Linked DNA regions of Arabidopsis thaliana. The protein of the gene in region 2 interacts with the protein of the main gene of each other region in a pairwise test. Each region holds a gene or a part of one and is shown on either strand. Other genes may lie near its edges.

Evidence for each region. Proteins that work in one complex are often made in the same cells at the same time.
Region 1: the proteins of RPT5B (region 2) and HXK1 interact in a two-hybrid assay, tested with the Arabidopsis thaliana proteins (one study listed by BioGRID).

The regions. Positions count from the first base shown.
Region 1 is NC_003075.7:14,349,967-14,358,469, forward strand, and holds HXK1 (hexokinase 1), read right to left. Parts: upstream 5,236-8,503; 5' UTR 4,900-5,235; coding exon 4,628-4,899; intron 4,003-4,627; coding exon 3,852-4,002; intron 3,764-3,851; coding exon 3,581-3,763; intron 3,496-3,580; coding exon 3,421-3,495; intron 3,342-3,420; coding exon 3,087-3,341; intron 2,993-3,086; coding exon 2,862-2,992; intron 2,796-2,861; coding exon 2,372-2,795; 3' UTR 2,071-2,371; downstream 1-2,070. Other genes in the region: AT4G29120 (6-phosphogluconate dehydrogenase family protein), read left to right, coding at 895-1,899. UniProt on the Arabidopsis thaliana protein: Fructose and glucose phosphorylating enzyme. May be involved in the phosphorylation of glucose during the export from mitochondrion to cytosol. Acts as a sugar sensor which may regulate sugar-dependent gene repression or activation.
Region 2 is NC_003070.9:2,933,016-2,941,028, reverse strand, and holds RPT5B (26S proteasome AAA-ATPase subunit RPT5B), read left to right. Parts: upstream 1-1,665; 5' UTR 1,666-1,770; coding exon 1,771-1,887; intron 1,888-2,231; coding exon 2,232-2,348; intron 2,349-2,587; coding exon 2,588-2,695; intron 2,696-2,813; coding exon 2,814-3,005; intron 3,006-3,103; coding exon 3,104-3,295; intron 3,296-3,391; coding exon 3,392-3,510; intron 3,511-3,587; coding exon 3,588-3,675; intron 3,676-3,756; coding exon 3,757-3,876; intron 3,877-4,056; coding exon 4,057-4,197; intron 4,198-4,276; coding exon 4,277-4,354; 3' UTR 4,355-4,501; downstream 4,502-8,013. Other genes in the region: AT1G09130 (ATP-dependent caseinolytic (Clp) protease/crotonase family protein), read left to right, coding at 1-71, 159-232, 453-506, 581-664, 877-957, 1,170-1,298; RBOHB (respiratory burst oxidase-like protein), read right to left, coding at 4,534-4,643, 4,733-5,232, 5,312-5,385, 5,460-5,562, 5,646-5,761, 5,873-5,968, 6,094-6,480, 6,640-7,077 and 4 more. UniProt on the Arabidopsis thaliana protein: The 26S proteasome is involved in the ATP-dependent degradation of ubiquitinated proteins. The regulatory (or ATPase) complex confers ATP dependency and substrate specificity to the 26S complex.

The sequences.
Region 1 (8,503 bases), on a different chromosome or scaffold from region 2:
GTAGTCTAAAATTATTTTGGTGATCATTCGAGTATTTTGTTAGTCCAATGTTTATTTGACATACTAGTCAAGTCATGCTCTCGTAGTTAACACAAACACCAAAAGTTTCTGGGCTTCACCTTCACAACACTCGGCTTTACCTTCTCAACCACAGTCTTTACCGCCAATCGCTCATTTCCAGGCTGCTCTTCTATTTCTATAATTCTTCGTGTGAGCTTCTCCACTGAATCACCAACGACCACTTCAGTGCAAGTTGATTCTTGGGGTTGTTCCACTGCTTTGGATGGTATACATATAAGTATACAACATGCAACAACAACAACAAGCATTATAAAATAGAGAAAAGTATCTTAAAGCATAGATCATGAAAAAGATGATAGAGAAATATTCTTACAATGTTGAGGTTGTGTTTTAGGACAATTCTCGAGAACCCACAAATATCTCAAGACAATGGAGACAGAGAGAACAACTACGATGATCCATATACGTGATATAATCCATTCCCAAACCAAATACTGGATCAAATCCCAAACCCAAACCAAATACTGGATCAAATCCCAAACCAAATTCTGGATCAAATCCCAAACCCAAACCATGTCTTTCTTTTTCTTCTAAATTTTCTCAAAACATGAAAGGTTATAAAACATCTATCATTTATTTTCTCATGCTTGCCTTGTTAAATGCCCATTGATTATCTATCTTCTTCACCACTAGCACGCTTGAGCCTAATAAACCAAGTTTAACCGAACCAAATCAATTTTCTAAACCAGGATTACAAACCCGACGTCGTTAAAGTACTTTGACGAAAAACACCTCCGAAGAAACTCAAAATTACGATGGTATACCACTCAACTTTCGATAACTACTAGAATCCATCAATCACCACAGGAAACAATGCCACTTCTCCTCCGTCGATTTCCCTCTCCCTCCGTCGTCTCCTCCTTCTTCCTCCGTCGCTCAATGGCTTCCTCAACAATCTCCTCGGATATAATCACTCCATCAAACACCAAAATCGGATGGATCGGAACCGGAGTCATGGGCCGATCAATGTGTGGACACTTAATCAAAGCCGGTTACACAGTCACCGTCTTCAATCGAACCATCTCCAAAGCTCAAACTCTCATCGACATGGGTGCTAACGTCGCCGACTCACCAAACTCAGTCGCTGAACAATCCGACGTCGTTTTCACCATCGTTGGTTATCCTTCCGATGTCCGTCACGTCCTTCTCGATCCAAAGTCCGGAGCTTTATCTGGTCTCCGTCAAGGAGGTGTTCTCGTTGATATGACTACTTCTGAGCCTTCTTTAGCAGAGGAGATAGCTAAAGCTGCTTCCTTTAAGAATTGTTTCTCAATAGACGCTCCTGTCTCAGGTGGAGATTTAGGAGCTAAGAATGGGAAGCTATCTATATTCGCCGGAGGTGATGAAACCACCGTGAAACGTTTAGATCCGTTGTTTTCGTTAATGGGTAAAGTCAACTTCATGGGAACAAGTGGGAAAGGTCAATTTGCGAAATTGGCTAATCAGATAACTATTGCTTCGACTATGTTAGGACTTGTGGAAGGTTTGATTTATGCTCATAAAGCTGGACTTGATGTTAAGAAGTTTCTTGAAGCGATTTCTACTGGTGCTGCTGGTTCTAAGTCTATAGATTTGTATGGAGATAGGATTCTGAAGAGGGATTTTGATCCTGGTTTTTATGTGAATCATTTTGTGAAAGATTTAGGGATTTGTTTGAATGAATGTCAGAGGATGGGTTTGGCTTTGCCTGGTTTAGCTCTTGCTCAACAGCTTTACTTGTCTCTTAAGGCTCATGGTGAAGGTGATCTTGGTACTCAAGCTCTTCTCTTGGCTCTTGAACGTCTCAACAATGTCTCTGTTCAATCATCTGACTCTTGATTTAGGTTCTGTTCCACTTTCTGATAATGCATCTGTTGGAGATTTTATGTTGTTATGAAGTAAAGATTTGATCTTTTGTGTACCCATTTGTTGGTAAAACATGATTTGAAGTAAACTTTTGTGTACGCATATGAGATTCATACACAGTAGTTTTATGTGTACTCAATGATGAGGAAAAATGAAATCTTTATATACTCAGAACTCCAGTGAAGTGAGCTTTGAATTTGTAGTTTTTACAACATATCTGGTTATAATAAAATCCCAGAATCTGAAGAACTGAGTCTTTTATTTTTGAAGAACATGAAAACAAATATTTCTCCCAAGGAAACTTATTTGCTACAAAGAAAGTCTTGGGGAAGAGTAAAAACATGGAATGCTTTCTTTTATGACGCCTTAGAACTTGGCTTAGGCGTTTTCTGATAGCGAAAAGCTTTCAGTAAATTACCGAAAAATGGCGCTCTTTGGGTAGGTTTTAAGAGTCTTCAAGGTAGAGAGAGTGAGAAGCAGCAAGAAGCGCAGCTCCAATGCCTGATCCATCATTGGAGTGAGTGACTTCAACGCTTCCTGAAGCTTCATCTCCAAGCAACTCTTTTAGTGAGCTCTCCATACACTCACTAAACTGAGTGTAATGCTCAAACAATCCACCATCCATGGCTATAACCGATTTCTGCACCTCCTCGTCTTTAGTAGTATCTCTTCCCAGTTTCTTCAGAATACCATAGATTCCAGCAGCAGAGAGACGAGCTCCTCGGGTTGCTATGATGTTGCAGAGACTGATCACAACTTTTCTCATTTTCAGAGAAGTTGTAGGGACCTCCAATATATCCTTAATCTTGCTCCCAACAATCTTCAAGTCTGGAGAAGTGTCGTTGTGCATAGCCGACATGTGAGGAGTCCTGCAAATGATTGTTGAACTTTAGACTAAAGCCCTTCCTCAAAGGATGAAACTTAGTAAAGAGTACCTAATGATGAATGGTATTCTCAGCTTAGATGGGACTGTATCGCCAAAGAAAGCAGCATCTTCAGCCATCTTTAGAAGAACTCTTCGCAAAATCTCTCCCAAGTACATACCGGAAATGATTTTCTCAAGAATCTGCAAAATGAAATTCCACATAGAAACTCATTCTCGAGACACCTCGTAGGTATTGGCATTTTGTAACAACAAACCGGGGTTTAAAAACTCGTACCTGTTCGCCTGGATTCAGACTCTCGAAATCCAGCGTGTGATCAAACTCGGTTAATGGAAGATGTGATGACCTGAAGTTTCCCCATTCCATGTTTATAACCATTTCTCCTGATTTTGGAAGCAGACCATGCCATTTAGGGATCGCGGTTGCACGCTCAACATAGGCTGCGTTTGTCCCAGTGCCTAAAATAACAGCAGCAACAACATCCGGGTTATAGTATCTACCACCGGCTAGTGTTCCAACGGTATCATTAACCTGTAAAACGTCAAAAACAAATCAACAAACACATGACAAAAGGGATTCACTAGAGAGCATAAGGCGAAAGAGAACTCACAAGTGCTGCGATTCGCATGTCAAGACCAACTCTTTCCAGAGCCTTATTAAGTGCTCCAACAACATCTTGTCCAACCTATGCAACAGGTTAAACAAAGATTAAGGCAAAGGCGAAAACTAAACATTTTAAGTGAAATAGTTGAACGAAAATCGAGCTTAACTGCTTCTTCGATGGAAAAGCCTTTTGTCCATTTGATGAGACTACCAGAGGACAGAGAAGTCTGCTTAACAGGAAACGAGAAAGTGAAACCTAATTCCCTCTGTCTACCTTCTGGAAGATGAAAGTCTTCGCATTCTGTAGCGACAAACTTCGCAAGAGCTTCAGCTATAAAATTGAACAACTCCTGAATCCATCAAAAGAACGCAAAAGAATCTTGTTACACAAAGATCATCTAAGACTAAACATGACAAATTGAAGAACAGAAAACTGACATCTGAACCACCAGTCATCAAATGAGGAGGAATCGAAACTTCTTCGAATTCTTGTTTAACAACACGCTCTTGCTTCCCGCCAAGAAGCACACGCATGACACGGAAGTTTGTCCCCCCTAGGTCCAATGCATAAAAGAGACCCTTTTCATCCCTGTTATATTAATGGTAGTAAATGTAAGACAGACCTACAACATGAAACTAGACGCATTGCCGCATTGGCTAACAATATTAAAGCGAAAATGAAACCGCACCAAAATGTTCTACGTAATATAACATAATCAATGCCATCATGCCATCTAATCACGAAGTCCATAAGACAAAAGTGATGTCTGTGGACAGACTTTTCAGACAAATCATATTCACATCACTGTCATTGTCTGCCTTAATGTAACTATGTATTAAACCTTAATCAAAAGGGCAATAACTCTCAAATCCATGAAAACAAATCTACAAAATCAAGAAGTGATACAACAAAACCTATAAGAAAATGAGACAATGATTCAGTGGGACATGATCTGGATTCCAAAAGATTCACTGATTCTGAAACAGTAGATCAATAATCCTATCTAATCGATCAATTTTGACCATTAAGAGACAATGCAATTACATCTCCAAATCAGGACGAAACTCATTTCATAACGTAATCCATATTACACAATCAACAACATTGAATGGATGACATATTAGGAGATAGAAATATTCTATCTTCTAATATGACAAAGATTGAAAATTTCAATGAAAAGCAACAGAATTTGAATCCAATTAGAAAACATTACCCGGAAGGAAGATTATCAACGTAGCTGATAAGCATCTTGAGTTTGCTACCACCGTCGGATGCAAGACCAGCATGCATCTCAACGGTCATAGCATCAGCCACTTGTCTCAGTTTCGAGATCGGAGTCGCACAATCCTCTTCAAAGGCCTTGAGGATAGCCAAAACACGTCCCCACTTCCCTGAGCTCTGCATCCGTCGTCGAACAACCAAAACAGCCACCGCACAAACCGCCGCCGTGCAAACAACAGTCGCTCCAACAGCTACTTTACCCATTTTTCCGATTTGGAATCAAAAACAAAACGAATCTAAAAGAAAGATCGGATTTTTACGATTCCGATCGCAAAAGCAAGGATTACAAATGACTAAAATTGACAAGCCAGAAAGAAGAAATAATCAAAATTTTGGAGTGAATTGAGAGAAATTAGAGAAACCTAAGATGGATCTAATACCGATCTACTCGAGCTTGGTGGGTTCGTCAAAAACAGTGTAGAAACCACGTAAGCGAGAGCTTCTCTCGTTCTTGTCCGTAAAGTATGGAAAAACAAAACAAGAAGTGGTAATAGAATCTGTTGAAATGACGAAATTAACCTTTTGTCTAATTTCGGTTTTTATCCTTTTCTCCACCTAAGTTTCTGGTAGCACCAATCATTCTCAAACCTCTAATCAACCACATGATAATTGCACATTCTTTTTTCTTTGTCCTTTTAATTCTTAGCATTTTTTCTGTCAGAAGATTAAAAATGCTCAATCGTAAGAGATAATGGCTCTACATAATATAAAATAATATAGATAAACAATGTTTTTATCAGTAGATAACTAAAACAAATAATTTACAGACAAATATGATGTGGATTATCCACTTCTTTTTGTTTAGATAAAAGGGATTATCCATATCATTATTCAATTTGTATAAATATGTTATTCAATTTGTATAAAATCATTAAAGTTTATATCGATGGTAAGAAACAAATAGTTTGGTCGCACGCTTACTGGATCTGACGACTTATTTGGGCCGGGTCATAATGTTATTCTATTGTGTAACATTAAGGCCTGAGTTAAAAGTCTTTAAAGTCGGTTCATTTACTCCAATTGAAAGTAATGGACCTTCTAAAATAAAATCTATACCAAGCCCATTATTAATATAGCAAATTTACAACCAAATTTGCTATTAAAAAAAGGTAGTCAAGATTACTAATAGGGTTACAGGGTGTACTTAGTACTTACACTATATACATGTTGAACAATGATATTAAATTATTTTCTTAGAGGTCTTACAAGTCTTAAATTTTTGATGTTTTGATAAAATCTTCTTCCAACGGATTATAATCAAAAAAGTAATACACTATCATATTGTATGTCCGTGTGGGAACAACAATTTCTGCATCATTAGATTCTCCATTATCTCATTTTTAAAAAATCTAATCAATCTTTAAATTGTGCTCTTATAGTATTTTTGCAATAGTTCCTGAGTACATCAGATAACTTTTTTTTTTCTTTACAAGTCAACTCTCAATTATGGTTACGAATATTATTAATTCTAATTGTTGTTCTTATGACTAATAGTAGTATTTATCAGATATTAGAAGAAATAGCTGGTAACTTATTTCAACTCATTAGTGGTCCCAATCCAGTTCACTAATGTTGTTTTGATATGATTAACCTTTGATTAAGAAGATCACTGAATAAATTTAGATACTCTAGATATCATATAATATAATTATATTTATATACAAATAAAAAGCATGTATCATTACATGAAAGAAAAGGTATGTATACCCCCACACGTTTGCTTTTGACCAAAATATAGGTGGGGAAACGAAATACTAATAGCAATGCATGTCTCTGATTATTACCGCATGTTCGATATTTGACGACATCATAAAAATTCATTTTCCGATGGTAAAAACTGAGAGAGGATTACCATCACGTATTTGTTTTTCTGTTAAGAACCCAATCCAAAGAATCAGAGTGGAAAAGTTAATCGAACAATAGCAAAATCTTAGAGAAACTTTTTTTTTTTTTTACTATAGTTTAATTTTGTTCAAGTATTCATAAACTATTAATAACTGTAAAAATTTGGATGAAACCGGAACCATGTATAAAAACCGGAACGGACTACATTGTGGAGCGGCTAAAATGTTGCAGATGTGTGTTGTTGATAAATGCTAGACGTGAAAAAACTTTAATGATTTTTCTATCTATCGATTTAAGGTGATTTCAAACACTAATATAATGTTTATAATCAATTAGTACATACATTAAAAGTTGAGCATTAATTTTCGAACAACAATTAGAGGAGACTAATGATGTCGACCCCTCAAAATCTTATCCAGATCTTATTTTCATCATTAACAATTATCTGATTTTAGTTAATTACATTAGTTTTTTTCCGCTGAACATAATTATCTTTAATATTACTCAAAACAAATACTCCAGTATATATGGTTACATAACATTATTGGCATTGCTATCGTTGATAATTTTACGATCTCTAGAATCGTAAATGACAGTTTACTTTAATCGATTATGACACTGTTTTGTTGTCATCACAACGATTTTATATATATATTCTATTACATTTATGCACACAAAAAATGACCGTAGACTATCGAAGGCTTTTGTTATACCAGATGCACCTAATCACAAGCGTAAACAAAGCGTTTTTTTCCCAAAAAAAAGCATATTTAATTGTTTGTGTGTATAAGAACAAAACAAGTAAACAACATCTAGTTTGACTTTACGATCATTTTTACGTTGCTTGTAATTCGTCCATAAACTAGACAACTAGATATTTTTTGTTCCCAAACAGCGGAGACTATTGTACATGATATGCGACTGATTATAAATGCATGAAACACGATCAAGTACCATACCAAAAATTTACAAGACAATAGTGTACATATATGAATATTATGAACCCCATGTTTAACATGGAAACGGGTAAAAAGAACCGGTGATAGTGTATTTATAATTTTATATGATGTGATGATTCACCAAAATTCAAAGTTAATGCAAGACTTTTTTTTTTTTTTTTAATCCGTGTAGTTCTCATATGGGTCCTCAATAATGTACATCTGACTAGTGTTCCAAAATAGATTCGACTTCGCGTCAAATAAGACTGACGAATGCTGAATTCGAAAGAGCATTGCATTATATAAGTTTTAACTTGCTCAATCCTTCACCTCACAGACTATCAATATATAGTTATATACACACATGCATATAATATTTTCGAACTAGGAAAAATATCATAAACTAGAGCAAAAAAAAATGAAATCTGGTTTACATGTTTGCTTCTGAAGATCGAAGAGGCGCCACGTACTAATCCCACTAAAGCACTGTCAAAAGGATCAAATAAATAAAGAGGAAAACTAAAAGCTTTAATTTGTTATAAAAAAAATTGTTGCAAAAATGAGACGAAATCCATTACCAGCTAGGACCGGACATTTTACTGAATCATCGCTCCACATTGATAAATGGCTTTTTTATTCATATGATTGCATTAACGAGTCAAACTTTATGGCTTTAAACTCATTGCTGATTCATCTTTGAAAAATAAGAAATTCTCCAAAAGACGCACCTTTAGGCATTTGCTTTCACATTTTTGTCTGTTTCAAATGTTGAATGTACATTTAATTAGGTTCAAATTTAGTTAGAATCTGTATTTAAATGTGGTAATTAAAAAATAAAAATGGATATATATTCTAAAGTTAGATTTACTATCGTTCTCTTAAGAATTTTATTTCGAGTTCATAATTTGGATATATTATAAATACTACGTAAACTATTTCTATACATGTCATCAAACTAACTATATATCGAAACTAGTAAGTACATGTTTTATATAAAATTTAAAACCATTCAAAACGTAAATATA
Region 2 (8,013 bases):
CATAGGTCAGGCCTGTCTATTACTTTCTGCGGGAACCAAGGGTAAACGGTTTATGATGCCACATGCCAAAGGTATAGACTTCGACTGCATTCTGGCCGCTTCTATGGCTCACCATTGATAATCAGAACCTCTCATACGTTTGATTCATTATGTCACAGCGATGATTCAGCAACCACGTGTACCTTCTTCTGGGTTGATGCCTGCCAGTGATGTCCTGATTCGGGCCAAAGAGGTTTGATGAATCGCTCTACACACTTAATATTCTGGAAATTTAAATTTGATCGAGATTTTCTCTTTCTGCTTTGCTTCTACCTACTTTCCTATATTATATCTCTGATAATTTGGACAGAAATTTCTCACTTAAGCATTTGGTTCAGAATTTCATGACCTAATTAGGTGAAGAATCTGAGTTTGATTACTTCATCTTCCTCATTCCTGTTATGCAATTGCAGGTCATTACAAATAGGGATATACTTGTGGAACTACTATCAAAGCATACTGGGAATGTGAGTGCGAAATATTTTCATAACTTTGTGGAGAAATTTGATAGCTGATTAAAACATTCTTATATGTCATATAGTCCGTGGAGACTGTAGCTAACGTAATGAGAAGGCCATATTACATGGATGCACCAAAAGCTAAAGAATTTGGAGTCATTGACAGGGTAAGTTTGGGCACTGTAATTTTTTGATGTTGCTTTTCATATGCACATACTAAAAGATTAAAGGTTACATATCGTCACCAAGCAAAGTAACCTTTCCAGTCAAGTTTCCCTCTCTTCTACCTTTTCCTGATGTTTGCCTGTGCGTAATGATGAATTTGTTTTCATACTTTTCCAAGTTAAAGCTTTAAAGATGGTCTCATAATCATTGGCAGATTCTTTGGCGCGGTCAAGAAAAGATTATTGCGGACGTGGTTCCTTCAGAGGAATTCGACAAGAATGCAGGGATTAAAAGCGTAGTATGAGTCTAGTCTTAAGTTTTCTTGGCCTAAATCATACTGTAAGTGACACGCGTAACTCTCCATTGCTACTCTAGGCATGAATCCATCTTATTCATGGAAATCTCTGATGAAGAAATACAAATGCATCTAACTTACCTGCAAATCATTAGAACGCACGCTTGTATTTACAATGATTTGTATTTTGCTTGAACTCTACTCATTTGCAGGCGTCATGGAGAAGAACAAATAGACTGACCAAAATCACATTGGCCGCAGACTGCCTTGTTTCAAATCACTTGGTAAATGTGAACATGCGATTAGGAGAATCATACTTAAAGGATCTTGAAATATTATGATAAAATTGTAATGTGTTTGTTCGTTAGCAATAGTAAATACAATCTTCAACTCTCTTCTTCACCCTTCCGATTTGAATATTGAACAGTTTCTTACTTGTTTCCATTTGGCTTCACTTCTTTTTTGGTCAGCTTTTAAGAAAACTACATCATCAATTTGACCAGATTGCTTAGCAATAACTTGATTTTAAAATAGATATAAGATACATTGTGAAAAAAATAAAAAGGATACAAAACCAAAAACGCTCCGATGCCGGGAATCGAACCCGGGTCTCCTGGGTGAAAGCCAGATATCCTAACCGCTGGACGACATCGGATTTGTTGTTGGGTATTGACTGTGATAATATTTAATACAATACATGTGTTATTAAATTAAAGCTGTTTCTTCGCCCAAAAGCCAAACTCTGTTTCCTATTTATGTCTTCTGAGATCTCTCGTAGACTCTTACAGTGATTAACTCAGGCTGCTAAGGGAGATGGCAACGGCGATGGCGGAGGATACGAGCTTCGAGGGAGACCAACTAGCTTCCATGACTACTGATGACATCGGTAGAGCTTCTCGTCTCTTAGCCAACGAGATTCGCATCCTCAAGGTCACCACCCTCTCTCTCTTCTCTCTATATTTTTAATCTGCTGGCTACTTGGAACTAGTATATTTCTTCATTCCAAGCTCACTATTACCTTAATTTGATTAGCGACACTTTGATTAGTTTTGAAGAAGATGGATGATGTCTGAGAGCAACGATAACTCTTGTTTCATATCACACTTTTTATCAGTCAAAGATATCGAAATTCACTCAAAGTACTTGTTTTTATAGTTAGATAATTATAGAATATGATTAGAAGACATTTATATTTACTGGTCTTTTGCTCATTGGATGAAATTCACCAGAATTTTTTGATGTCTTTTTCTCTCAAATACGTTGATTTGTTGTAGGAAGAATCGCAGAGGACAAACCTTGATTTGGAATCAGTGAAGGAGAAAATAAAGGAGAACCAGGAGAAGATTAAGCTTAACAAACAGCTTCCTTACTTAGTTGGCAATATCGTTGAGGTACTTTCACTGACTCTTCTCTTGGGGTGTTTCACATTCCTTATATGGGGCTTTTGGTTTTGGTATGTATAACATTCCTTTTTGTTGAGTGACACAATTGTACTATGCTTTTGATTACTAGTAGTGTTAGCCTGATGAATTCCTTGAATCTTTGCCACAGTAGTTCAGACATTTTACCATCAAATTTTTTTTTGTGTAATGATGGAATTAGGATTTGATCTATTATCCGTGCTTTCTAGATTCTTGAGATGAGTCCAGAGGATGATGCAGAGGAAGATGGAGCGAATATCGATCTGGACTCTCAGAGGAAGGGAAAGTGTGTCGTTCTAAAAACATCAACTCGTCAGGTGAAGTTTTAGACTCTTATATCACCGTTAGAGAGATTTTCAGAACTAGTGGGGAACAAACTCTGACTACTAGTGTAGTGTTTGTATAATGATCTCATGGGTTAATTATACTTTTCAGACCATCTTCCTCCCTGTTGTTGGACTTGTTGATCCAGATACATTGAAGCCTGGGGACTTAGTTGGAGTTAACAAAGATAGTTACTTGATTCTGGATACTTTACCTTCTGAGTATGATTCAAGAGTAAAAGCAATGGAGGTCGACGAAAAACCTACTGAAGACTACAATGATATAGGGGGACTAGAAAAACAGGCTAGTTGATGACTCTCCTGTTTCATGTTTCCTTAGTTTTTAGTATCTCTGGTACAATATTTGATGTTGGTGACTCTCCTGTTTTTGTAATTAAACAGATACAAGAACTTGTTGAAGCCATTGTGTTGCCAATGACTCATAAAGAGCAGTTCGAAAAGTTGGGTATCCGTCCACCAAAAGGTGTACTCTTGTATGGTCCTCCTGGAACCGGAAAGACGTTGATGGCCCGAGCTTGTGCAGCACAGACAAATGCAACTTTCCTCAAACTAGCAGGGCCACAACTTGTTCAGGTATGAAAACTAGAGTAAACGTAACTGATTTTGATCTTGTTCCTGTGATATTTTTTGAACCAAACGGAAAGTAACTTTTTTTAGACTTATGTATAGATGTTCATCGGAGATGGAGCAAAACTTGTCCGTGATGCTTTCCTGCTTGCAAAAGAGAAATCCCCTTGTATTATATTCATAGATGAGATTGACGCAATAGGGACAAAGCGTTTTGATAGGTACTCTATCTAGAGTCATGTCATAACTATTTTATTTTCTTTCTGATGACTAATGCTGACTTTTAATTGGCTTACAGCGAAGTTAGTGGAGACCGTGAGGTACAAAGGACAATGTTGGAGCTGCTCAACCAGCTTGATGGATTCAGCAGCGATGATCGCATTAAGGTTGTTACCCCTCATATTACCCCTGCAAATGTCTATTTATTTAGTGAAAGGCATGAAAAACTCATAATTTTACAAACTTAGGTTATTGCAGCGACAAATCGTGCTGATATACTAGATCCTGCCCTTATGCGTTCTGGTCGTTTGGATCGTAAAATCGAGTTTCCGCACCCCACTGAAGAAGCTAGAGGCAGGATCTTACAGGTTCTGTATCCTTTACTGCATCTTTTCTTTTTTCTTTCTTTATTTCTATGTCGTTTTAAAGCTAAAATTAGAGAGCTTCATGCACTTAGACAAGTCTTGCTGTGATTTTCTATGTATTCCGCGGATAACTTATCTTGGGTACTGTTTTGTTTTTGCATAATGTTGGCGATGGGGTTACAGATACATTCAAGGAAAATGAATGTGAATGCAGACGTCAATTTTGAAGAGCTTGCTCGGTCAACGGATGATTTCAATGGAGCTCAACTCAAAGCAGTGTGTGTTGAAGCGGGTATGCTTGCCCTGCGCCGGGATGCAACTGAGGTATGCATATATCTTTCGTCTTAGTGGTTGTAACTTTAGGATGTGGATGATATGGAGGAAATGGTAAATGTGTGTGCAGGTGAACCATGAGGATTTCAATGAAGGTATAATTCAAGTACAAGCCAAGAAGAAAGCAAGCTTGAATTACTACGCCTAAGTCCTCTTTTATGTACACTCTTCTTTCTCCTCTTTACATTATAGAAAACTTCAAGTTGTAGTCTCAACTTTTGAATCTAGAACCCCTTCAAAGTGTGGTTATAATTATAATAGATATCAGCTTGACATATTTTGCTTATTATTTTCTAATGATGGTCTGATGGATGAATAGAATCGAAACTAGAAATTTTCCTTGTGGAACTCAAACTTGGTCGTAGTTTTCCTAGAGAAATCTTGAGCCAGTCTCTTTAACTCTCCTATGATGCATGTATTACCACAGTAGAAAACCCCTACCAACAAAATAGAAAAAGGAAAATCAGTTACTTACTAGAAAGATTCTACAATAGCTATGGAATTGTTGTAATAGCTAGTGACATACCAACTCGTTGATTGACGTGGTTGACTGCGACGTGCTTGAAGACACTACGCCAATTGGGTCGAGCGAAATGGGTTCGGACCCGAGTGCCCGATACGATGTCAATGCCGCTCTTGGCGTGGTGCAATGACTGCAACATGGTGATTAGTGCTGACCTCGCATCTCCTTCCTCATACACGCTAGTGCAGTAATTATGTAGTTCAATCATCCCCTCACTATCATACTCAGCTACCTCGTTCATGACCTCACTGAACCATTCCAATGATCCTTGCTCTCTTGTTACCCAATAAAAATAAGCTCGTTTTGTGGCAACATAGTTTTTTATGTGTTGGTTAGTGCCTCGTTCGATGGAATTCTGGTTCTTGATGTTGTTAAGGACGTCCCTGATTATGCTGATTAATGGCGTCGCTCCGATCCCTAGACCTACTAGAAGCAATACATCGTAGTTCCGGTAATCTTGTGCGGGTGCACCATATGGACCATCGATTAACAGCCTCGGAAACCTTTCCATGTAAAATTCATTAGAAAAATTGCTCATGTTTTTAAATCATGATTACTCAAATTATAAATCAAAAACTGTACCTGGTTATATTGTTGGCTTGACCTATGTCAGCTATGAAGAGCCCACTTTGACTTGTTGAGGGAAGTTGACAAACCTATGGTTTTGTAATTAAACAAATCAAGTACATATATCATTAATTCACAAATGTTACTCTTGAAAAATAGTAACCTTGGAATATAAGGATTTGAGTTGCGATGTCCAGTCTCCGAGTGTGCGGATATGAACGCTGAGGTAATCATCCCCGGAAGCCGAAGTAATTGAAAACGGATGCCTACACAAAATTGAAAATAGGTTAATAATAAAGTTAAAATCTTATGCTTGTACAAGTTCAGTGGCATTGTATTGTTGATATACCATTGTAATGGTGAGACGTCAGAACAGTTAATATATATGTACTGTCCACTTGTGTACTTGAAACCTTTAGGCTTCGACATGTAAAGTGAAAGTACATTTCCTGGATATACTGCCACCTGAAAATCAGTTTGATGTCAATAGAAATTAAAAAAGTGAAATATATCCTTGATTTTTGTCTATAATAACAAGAATGCATGTATATTATTGTGAACAGATCATAGAAATACCTTCAAAACCTTGACAGCCTTGGCACCTGGTCTAAATGCACGAATCAATCGTTCAAATGCATATAGTAGTACGGGAACTGCCAGATACATCCACGTCTGTCCAAAGGTAATAATAACAAAGGATGCTTTCATCAACAAAAATTATCATATGATCTTTTCGTCTGATTTTCTGAACACTCCGTGATTAATCAAGACGCAAGAAAAAATATATGTATACGTACCGTCTTGTGGTACCATTCCTTTGAGAGATAAACAAAATAGCCATGCACGATGAGAAGAACATAAACGATGACAAACAAATGGTGTGAGTACCAAAATGCGTTGAAACCAGTCAATCGTTTCAACGATTTTGGTAGGTTTGCCCGGTTTCGTCTGAACCACGACTGCGCCAAGACGTAGGCCACTAACATAAGAACCACCATGGTAACACCGGTCCACCCGTCTGTCCCTTTCATGAACCATCCATAATTTTCAGGCCTCTCGTCTCCGAAAAACTTTTTCATTGGCTCAAACTCTACATTTTTTGCATGCAGCAAACGCGGGAAATCACATGCCAGGTGAGATATAGCGTGCAAGCCTATTCCAACCGCGATCCCAAATGCAACAACCTGCATGGACATAAAGATTAAGCATAACCAAATTATATTGTTACAAAAGTCGTATATCTTTTTGTATTCTTCTACAACAACAAAAAAAACATGGATTATTGGACAATGAAAATTATATAATGTGTATAGATATGATATATATTAATATACATAATTTACCTTGTGGAAATTGATATTGTCATCAAATGGAACAACAGACCCAATAAGCTTGGACTTGGTCCTTAGCCAAGTGATAGTGTTCCTACAAACGGGCAAGAGAATGAGAGCCATGTTGAATTTCAAGGTCTCTGCACTGCCTTTGGCCACGGTAACACAGTAGCCCATCACCTCGAACACGGTTTTGCGTTTATACTGGAGAAATTTCCAAGTGAAGAGAGTGATGCAAATGGATATCCACAATGTTAACACCCAAATCCTTTTCCAATTTTCCAAGAAGAAGTATGATATATTCATAGCAAATCTTTTCACCGGGTTTCGATCTTTTGTTGGTATGAGCTTCTGGCTCAACATCTTGTTGAGTGCACGTTTGTTCGCGGAAGATGGACTGTTATTTGATTGGCTAGGAACTTGGAGAAGCAATGTTTCCAAGTTATGTAACTGCAAGTAAACCATTGCTCAACTATATTTTCAAACACATTGAAATATATAACAAATACATTTACAACTGATTTTAAGGATTTAACCATGTTTTTAATAGTGATGTTAAACAAGTGTAACCATTAGATAGTAGACAACGAACCTCAATATATCCGAGGTTGTCGCGATCTAGTTCTTCCATGATCAAGGCAGCATATTCATCTACATTTTCTTTAATCTTTGATAGCTTGTTAGCCGAAGCACTTAAAGCAATTATCTATAATTCAGCCGAAACAACTTAGATTGTAACATTTTTATATTAGGACCATAACGAAATTGAGATCAATTTAATAAGGTATACCTCACCTCCTTAACCTCATCTCCTGTAATACGTCCGTCCAAATTTTTGTCCACCCTTATATACATAAACACAAAGAGATAACTAATCAACTTACCATATTTTATGACAAATGATAATCATGCATTATACTTGTCAAAATACTATAAATAAATATAAAATCATGCTTACATATCAAAAAAGATTTGCAGCCTATCATCAAAACTATTGCCTGTGATCTGCTCCCAGAATTCAAACAATTCAGTTTTGGTGATTGACGATGACGTAGTCCCTCTCCTTCGGACCAACGCCTCAAAAAGCTCGTTCACAAATTCGCTAGATTCAACCATTCCTATTTAGTTGAAATAATTCTTTTAAAATTCAGTTAAAAAAAAAGTAATAAAAAAACAAAACTGTATATGAGAAACAAGTTGAGTATTGCAGTGAAATTACAGAGAGAAAAAAATGAAACCAAAAAAGGTATATTATTTAAAGTTTTTTTGTTTACCTATGCAATGTCCAAATTTGGATTTAGGGAGTTTCCCTTCAACGGCCAACTTATCAAACCTCATTGCAACCTCATCCCAGCCTCTACCAACGGCGTCGTTTTTGGCAATGAA